Linked DNA regions of Xenopus tropicalis. The protein of the gene in region 2 interacts with the protein of the main gene of each other region in a pairwise test. Links are inferred from orthologs where the notes say so. Each region holds a gene or a part of one and is shown on either strand. Other genes may lie near its edges.

What was found. The genes of interacting proteins can lie anywhere in the genome.
Region 1: the proteins of bag4 (region 2) and unkl interact in binary tests that used the Homo sapiens proteins (3 or more experiments, as listed by UniProt). The link is inferred for Xenopus tropicalis from reciprocal best matches to the Homo sapiens genes BAG4 and UNKL.

The regions. Positions count from the first base shown.
Region 1 is NC_030685.2:28,323,130-28,327,348, forward strand, and holds the start of unkl (putative E3 ubiquitin-protein ligase UNKL), read right to left. Parts: upstream 2,814-4,219; 5' UTR 2,657-2,813; coding exon 2,592-2,656; intron 1-2,591. UniProt on the Homo sapiens protein: May participate in a protein complex showing an E3 ligase activity regulated by RAC1. Ubiquitination is directed towards itself and possibly other substrates, such as SMARCD2/BAF60b. Intrinsic E3 ligase activity has not been proven.
Region 2 is NC_030679.2:132,219,567-132,223,533, reverse strand, and holds the start of bag4 (BAG family molecular chaperone regulator 4), read right to left. Parts: upstream 2,801-3,967; 5' UTR 2,495-2,800; coding exon 2,315-2,494; intron 1-2,314. Other genes in the region: U6 snRNA-associated Sm-like protein LSm1, read left to right, coding at 3,106-3,151. UniProt on the Homo sapiens protein: Inhibits the chaperone activity of HSP70/HSC70 by promoting substrate release. Prevents constitutive TNFRSF1A signaling. Negative regulator of PRKN translocation to damaged mitochondria.

The DNA of each region.
Region 1 (4,219 bases), on a different chromosome or scaffold from region 2:
TGTTTTTAATTATTCCAGGTCCAGGCATACATAAGATGTCAATTGCATGATAAAAAAAAATGTCTGTATATGGTTTCAACAAAAAGTTTGATGACTTTCCTAGAGTGATTAAGAAGCAGCAATTTCAGCTTTAGTATTAATGGAGAAGGTAAGTCATTTTGCTGCCAATAGATTTTCGATGTTAGTGCCACCTAGAACTCCATATTTATTCTGCAGAAAGCATTACCATACCTAAATAAAGAGCACTAGGGCCTTTCTCTTGTTGCAGCTGCCACTATAGCTTGGTGTTCATAGCTTCCTGTTTCCAGTCTAGCCCTAATAGCTAGGGTTGGGGGGAGTGAGTTTTATGAATTCTTGAGGGAAAGGGAGAGGAAGCAGGAGTGGGGAGAGCGGAGTAAACTGAGCAGACTCTGGCACTAGGAATGAAGGATTTTTCTGAGAGAGGAAATCAAATACCCCAAGAACATGTTTACAAAAAAAGGAGAAAAGAAATGCTGTGTTTCTTTTGACAGAGGGTGTTTCTGTGAGTGCTTATATTTACATAGACCTTTTTGATAAAGCTTACTTAGTTTTTACCTTCCCTTCTCCTTTAATGGGGCAGATCAAATTTAAATGAATTTTTAGTATGATGTAGACAGGGATATTGTGAAACAATAAGTAGTTGGTCTTCATTTTGATTTTTTAGAGATTTCATTTCACTATTTAGTAGCTCATGTTTGCAACTTCAGAGTTTTCCCTAGCAACCAGGCAATCTCTAAAATGAGGGACTAGGTCAAAAAGAAAGAAAAGTAAGAAGTAACAACTGCAGCCTCACATTGTCGGAGTCAGTGGCTCATTTGTACAACGAAAAGGGCACAACAACATTGACCATTATTAATATATATATATCAAAAATATATGAAAAATAGAGACCAACTGACAATTTGCTAGGAATAGGACATTACTGAATAAAAAGTAACAAAGCTGGACTAACCTTTTAAGGATTGTAATTCATATTTTGGAATCTGTTAAATGTTTTAACCCCCATGAGGTTTAAGAAATCATTAGAGGGTTTGAGTTTTTATTTCAATAAATTTTTATTTGGAATCAGAAACAAGTAAACAGACTGTGATTCATTAATCAGCAGAAATGGGAGTTTACAGACAGATCTTAAACCTGGCTGCAAACTTCTATTTCAGGAAAATAAAACTAAAAAAAACTCACTAGAGAGGCCCCCTGATAGGGAACACTTCGAAGACCCGTTTGGTACCTAGACAGACTAATATTTGCTTACCTAATAAGTCATAATTATCACTATTTACCAAGATGTCAGATTATAAATGGGCCAATAAACTGGATCGCACATGGACACGGTCAGCTGCCTACTGTTGTGTTTGTTTAGGCCAGCAGCCTGAACATTCAGAACTATGATGCAACTTACACTGGCCACCATGTTGATCGGGAAGATGTAATGTTAAAACATTTCCAAATCATCTGCAATTCATCAGGAAGACATTAAAAACCCCAAATCTGGCATACAAGTCCAGATGACTGAAACCAGCCAAGCTGTCTGACATCCCTGGGCAAGTAAGGGCAACTAGGGTTCAGATCAAGATATGAATTAAAAGGGACTGTATTTATCTCTCTCCCCCAAAATATTAGGTAAATCTGTTTAGACTAATGTTGACAGGAGACTAAATTAGTTTAACTGAGTTACTTGAACACAGGACGTAGCCATATACATCCAATATAAACGGGAAAGTAAACATTGTAGTAAAGTTCCAAAACACTTTTATTATTTATTAAAGACACAAGTAAGAGTATAGTGAAGATCCACTAGATCCCTGGCTTGGAGTTGCACTGAGGTGTGCAGGCACCACTTTCCCATGTGTTTCCTTCTCCCCAGCTCCAATAGCGCAAGCTAGACTGTAAATATAGGACTACTCACTGGCGCTACACAACCAGTAAGCCTGAAAGTGAACGTAACCAGATGGTGACAGCAGCTATTTGCTGTTTGTTACTGCTTACATTGCAAAAAGAAAAAAACACACACACACAATGCCTGCGCTTCGCCCTGCGCCACCGAACTAAAACTCTCTCCTGAAAACAAGGGAATTCTGGAAGTTGGAGTTCGATCGCTGGAATCAATACACCCGCTGCCAATGGTCCGCGATAACCCAGCAACAAGTGGCTGCCATGCAGATGCTGAGTGTGATAGGAACAAGGAGGGAAAATGGCTTTTATTTAAAGGAGGAAAGTGGTCAGGGACGAGCAGGCGCCGCTTTCACGGCTATTCACAAAACCGCTTTACTCCAGCTGCAGCGCGACTTCTCAAGCATCGCTCGGCGCACTACGTAAGTGGCGTAAGAGCCGCGCTTCTTGCAAGCGAGGGAGACCGAGCGGAATGGAGGAGAGCCCTGGCTGAGCGCTCGATACTTTCCTAAACGACAATATCGCGACCCCCTGCAGTAGGGGGCCTCACGGGCATAATTTGTCGGTTGCATGAAGCGCTGCCGTCGAATCAGCTATTGCTAAGACGCGCCTCCGACACAATGCAACCTGATTGCAGGGCAGCTCAGTGTCCGGAGGAGTGCGCTGCTTGCAGCACTTACGTGTAATGAGTCGGTTTCTCGGTCTGCGGGGAGCCGTTCAGCGCCGTTTTCGAAACCGACGGCATTTTCAGTCAAAACAAAGCTATGCGCATGCGCGGGAATCCTGGAGCCTGTGACTTGTCACTCCTCCCAAGACTGACAACACCCCCAGCACCGCTCCTCCCCAAACTGAGCTCATCCTTCCATACGCAACACATTCCCCGTGTTGACCGTTTCCATTCCATACTGACACTCCCCCTTACAGCTACGCCCTCCAGCTAAATACACAAATACGCAACTCTCCCTCTTCCATTCTGACACGCCCCTGCAGCCACGCCTCCTCACTCTGACAAGCAACATAACAAATCCCCATCAGCCCCAACTCTAGGGTAACACCTCCCACTGCAAGCCACGCCCCTGACAATGACAACATTGCCTCCTACAAACACACTTTCCCCACCATCCTCTCCCAATCCGTCTTGTAGCCACACCTCCCTCTCCTCCAACCACACTCCTTTAAAACGACAACATTACCCTCTGCCTCGCAGCATGAACCCTCCTTAGTTAATTGCTCCCCACGCAGGCCCATTTGCGGTCACGTTCTTTGCAAGAGTTGTTTTGAAAAAGACCTTCCCGACATTGGCAACGCACCTCCCATTCTTCTTCCCACACATAGCAGCCTTCTTATTCCTCCGCCCATTTAGAACTTTTATTATATTCCTTTTATTGGCGGCACATTTCATAGACCTACAAGCACAAAAAAACGCACGGCAGTTCCCTCTGTTGGCACCGCCCCTTCTCTGCAGTGCCTTTTCACAAATACCAACTTCCTCACACACAATATTCACATGCATTTTATATTATGAAGACGGCATTGCCCTTCCTTTATCTTCCTTTGTACTGCCCCAGTTTAGTCCGTAAATACATCTATTCCTCCTCCCATTAACAAGAGGCTCCTCCCATTGGTCCTTCTCACAACACAGCCGCTTCCATTTTTACGCTACTGTTGCATTGCTCTTTCCCTCTGACAATATGACACCGCAGTTGCATTGTTCCCTTGTTTTACCAATATCGCACTACCGTTGCATCGTTCCATAAAGGAATTGTTTCCTTACTCTGACAATGCAACTTTCATTCCATTTTACACAGAGAACACACCTTCCGTTCTACTTCACCCTTTTACTGGTTACTATGGCATCTTCTCTAATAAATATCTGGACAAAACACATTTTAGCAAATATCAGAATTAACTCCCATTTTGCACTCTGGGAGGTTGGGTCTGCGCCCACTTCTGCTTCGGTATTATGGTTATTAAAATAAGAAATGTGGTTCAAAGTTAACGGGTACAGCTTTTTGCTGGTCTTGTATGCAAACAGCACACTCCCACTGCACGCATGCACAAAATTTTACAGTCACATATGGCAGTAATTCTGATTGCTCTGTATGGGAGATACATTCCAAAATTTTGCCACCCCCAAATTTGTGCCGCCCTAGGCCCGGGCCTTTGTGGCCTCTCACAAATCCGGGCATGATTGCTGTTAGTTTGCTTGGTGGCCTCCATGCAGCAGGGCAATTTAGTATGTGGTTCATAGTGACATTTGCCTTAAAGGAGACATATTGGATAAATGGGAAAAACCCTAATTTTGTAG
Region 2 (3,967 bases):
TTTTTACTAGCTTAATGTGTGTGATCTGAGCCAATCAGCAGGAAGCTTACTCATAGTCTTACTAACTGCACATGTACACTGGTCTTGGTACAGGAGTGAGGCATTATGGGAACTTTCTTTACACAGCTCAGCGGTTTTTTTTCTATGAGGCTTCTGATCATCTGAATGGGAGAAATATGGGGAGACTTAAGGGCACTATTGAGAGAACTGAAGGTATGCCTGCAGCTTGAGATTAACTCTTTATTAGCCTTTCCTTCTCCTTTAAAGGAAAAGCAAAGGTACCCCCCACCAAGTGATTTTAACTTTCCTTCTCCTTTAACCCTGTCCCTGCACCATATTTCCCAAAGGGTTTAGGAATAGTCCTGTAGATGGTGATCGCAAACTAATCTAGTTGTAGCAAACTAATCTGATGGATTTCTCTGAGGAGGGAAAGAGTAAGCTGGATCAAGGAAGTCAGTGGGATATATTTAGAATTCTGCATTAGAATTTGAGGCAGCTTAGCAACATCACGACACTCACTGCCAACCATGGAGAAGATAAAGTGGTTAAATCAAAAAGTATCACAACGATCAGTACTGGGACCCACATTGTTTTTCAGTTTCTATTATTGTTATGGCTATGTTTTCCTGAGCCAAAATATAGGGGGCAAGGGGGTGCTGAGGAACAAGAATTGAACAGAAAAAACCTGATAAGCGCTAGAATGCCAAGAAGATAATGTATCTGTGTTTGCTTTGGAGATCAGTGAGGTTATTAGAACCCAGCATGGAAAGGGGTTCAGCACAGAAAGATCTGACTATAAAAGGCAATTGCTCAGGAAATGGCAGTCAGCTCACTGGGATTTACCAATTTGGAATGGAAAAGGAATGTATTGATTACAAGTCTGCCAAATATACACAGGGCTAGAAAGCTGCAGCACAGGATAATTATAAAGCAGTTAGATTCTAGGTTAGGTTTTATAGATGTATTGGCCGTAGGCACTTCTTAGGCCTCATTATGAAAGTGCTGAAAAGAATGTGGCCAGTCCTTACTGCACACGTTATAGGAGTTAATTTTGGAATAATTCAAATCAGGAATCTGTCCGCGTTATGGAGATGTTATCTGTATGAGTGTAACCATATTAAACGAATCTAATGCAAGCATTCTGTTTGGCAGCTCTGGAAATGGATTATGTGTGTAAATGCTGCTAGTACTTCATGTTGTTATACAGTAGCAATAAACTAGAAAGAATTTCTCATTAAAATACTCCCTCATAAAGCCTCCAATGTGATGGCTTGTCCCCCACCTACTGGCGGCCACCCTTAAAGCTCCATAGTGCTCTACCTAGCCCAACGGGTCTGATCATTTTTTTTAAAAAAATAGTATGGGTGCCATTGTTTGGGCATAACATATACTACCTTCTGGAGCACTAAAACATTATCTTGCCCAGTCCTGCGCTTAAGGGCAAATGCCCATACCTGGTGCACTCTTACCTTCCAATTTGTGCCTGTATGTTACCCAACCACTTAGATTGTAAGCTTTACGGGGCAGGGACCTCCTTCCTACTGTGTCTCATTCCACATGGCACTTACTCCCTGTGTATTTATACTTATTTACTGTATTTTTTATAACACTTGTCCTCCCTGTGTGTAATTTGGTATATTGTAAGATTGTACAGTGCTGCGTACCCTTGTGGCGCTTATACATACATACATATAAACATTTTGGAAAGACATCCCGCCACCTTAGTCAAGATTCCTGATGTTACCATATTAAGGGATGGCAGCATTACATTTTGCCATAGAAGAGCGCCCCCTTATGGCATAAGTTTAGGTTGTGGTTTCCCAAGTGTCATTGTACTCCAGCCCCATAAAGTTGCCTTATGGCAAGCAAAACAAAGGTCCCTCTGTATCAATTCATATTTGTGTGTGATCTGTATGTTTTATGTATATGAAAAGCTGCAAAATATGTTGTTGGTTTGTAAATACGTGTTAATATTAGTCAATTAAAACTGGCTTATAGTGGGCTTTACTTGACCTTTAAATGTTCAATTTCACTATATAGGAAATGAATGGCCAGTGTTTATGGAGGAGTAGCACAAAGGCGCCTCTAGAGGCTCTGTATATATATATATATATATATATATATACACACACGTATGTATTAGGTACCGGATATCCATGTATACAGGTAATGAATGGACACGTTTGGTATCCAACCCGCCCCCTGCCCAGATCCCCTCAGGAAAAGGTGCTGTAGTTTGGATGGATGGAAACAAGAAAGACACCCATGACACTTTACCTGATGACTTTGCGTCCTGACTTCTGCAATTACTCACCTGAGTTCCAGGAGCTCCTCCCCCTGTCCCTCCTCCGGCCCAGCTTCTCTCCGCCTCCTGTGGGTAATAGCCAGTTCTCCACTCTGCCTCACCTTCCCCCCGCTGTCTTGCCAGCACATCCGCTCCTGCACCCCCATAGTATCCCCCACCTCCCTCCACAGGCCTGTGCGCGGCAGACATGGACCCTCCAATTCAGGGAGCTAGAGAGTAAGCGAGTGTCAACTGAGCCGACGCAGAGCGACCAGTGAGAGCCTGGCACCTCGCCTACAGCCAATCAATACGAAGCTAGACAACAAACAGCCAATGGAGCGCAAGTGCGCTGATTCAGAAACGCCTCTATCTCTAGCTAGCGGCCAATAAAAAGTGAGAGGGAACTGATTGTCATCGGGGTCAGGGTAACTGCGCACGAACAGCACGTCATGTAAAAGTCACTTCATCCAATGGGAAAGTGAAAGGCATCGAATGCGTGAATGCGACCAATCGTTGTTGAGCAAAGTCGGCGAAATAATTGGGTTCAGATTTCTAATTGGCCGGTAACCATTTTAACCACGCCCACACTAGTTCAACCACCAATAGGACGAAATTGGAAGCCCAGCAAAAAATGTCGGGGAGGCGCAGAAGTCATCAGCCGGGCGCTTGAATATGGCGTCACGTACATATTCACCGCCCATAAGACGAGCCTTCGTCCCGCCGGAAGTGCCATTTTTTTAATAGGATGGCGGTGCTTTTGGAGGCCAGTTTTGTGTGTTGTCCGGTTTGAGGTAGTGGCCCGTGGAGGGTCGGGAAAGAGGATGAATTATATGCCCGGGACCGCCAGCCTCATAGAGGATATAGACAGTCAGTATTTGATTATATATGTCCCTGACTCCCAACAAGTGAGCTGGTTAAACGCAAGTCTGCAGCCTAGGCGCCATAGAAGGCATGGGCGATACACTCGTAGCTTAACATGTACCTTCCACCCCTACCATTGTGCGGTGCTGGGAGTTGTAGTTTAATACCTACACACATACTCACTACACTTGTAACTATGGGCAGAGTGAAGCATGGCAACAGATTCGCCGTTTGGCTTATGTGAATTGCTAAAGTAGTTTCTATTGAGCCACTTTCATATCTATTATCTCGTCTGTCATTCAAACCTGGTCTGTTCCCTAGCAACTAGCCAAATGGGCAACTGCAGTAGCCTTAGAAACACACTTAGCAAAGGGGAACTACATTGAAAAACTTAGTATATTGGAAAGTTGCATAGAAATAGTTACATGTTTTAAGTTATTTGCAAATGTAATGGCAGATGTATTTGTTGATCCCCCTTCTGTTCCCTGGGTCTGACTTTTGAAATACTGTAGCGGAAGTCGGCGGAAAGTAGCTGTCTGCTACTTTGTTACAGTAGTCTGAATCAGCAGTACAGGAAGGGACACCTGTTACATCCTTTTAATGTCAAATACCCCTAATCTTCAAGAAGAAGGAAAGGTTTATTGCCAATTCTTTGCTCAATGATTATAATCACTAAGCTTAGACCCTGGCTTGCACTCCTCACTGAAAACCTTTTTGGCCTGGCGTCCCCTATAATCGTATCCCAAGCTGGGGTGATTTTCAGCAAATTGCTGGGCATAAGGGGTTACAGAAGTGTAAAAAAGCCTTTCCTTCTCCTTTAGA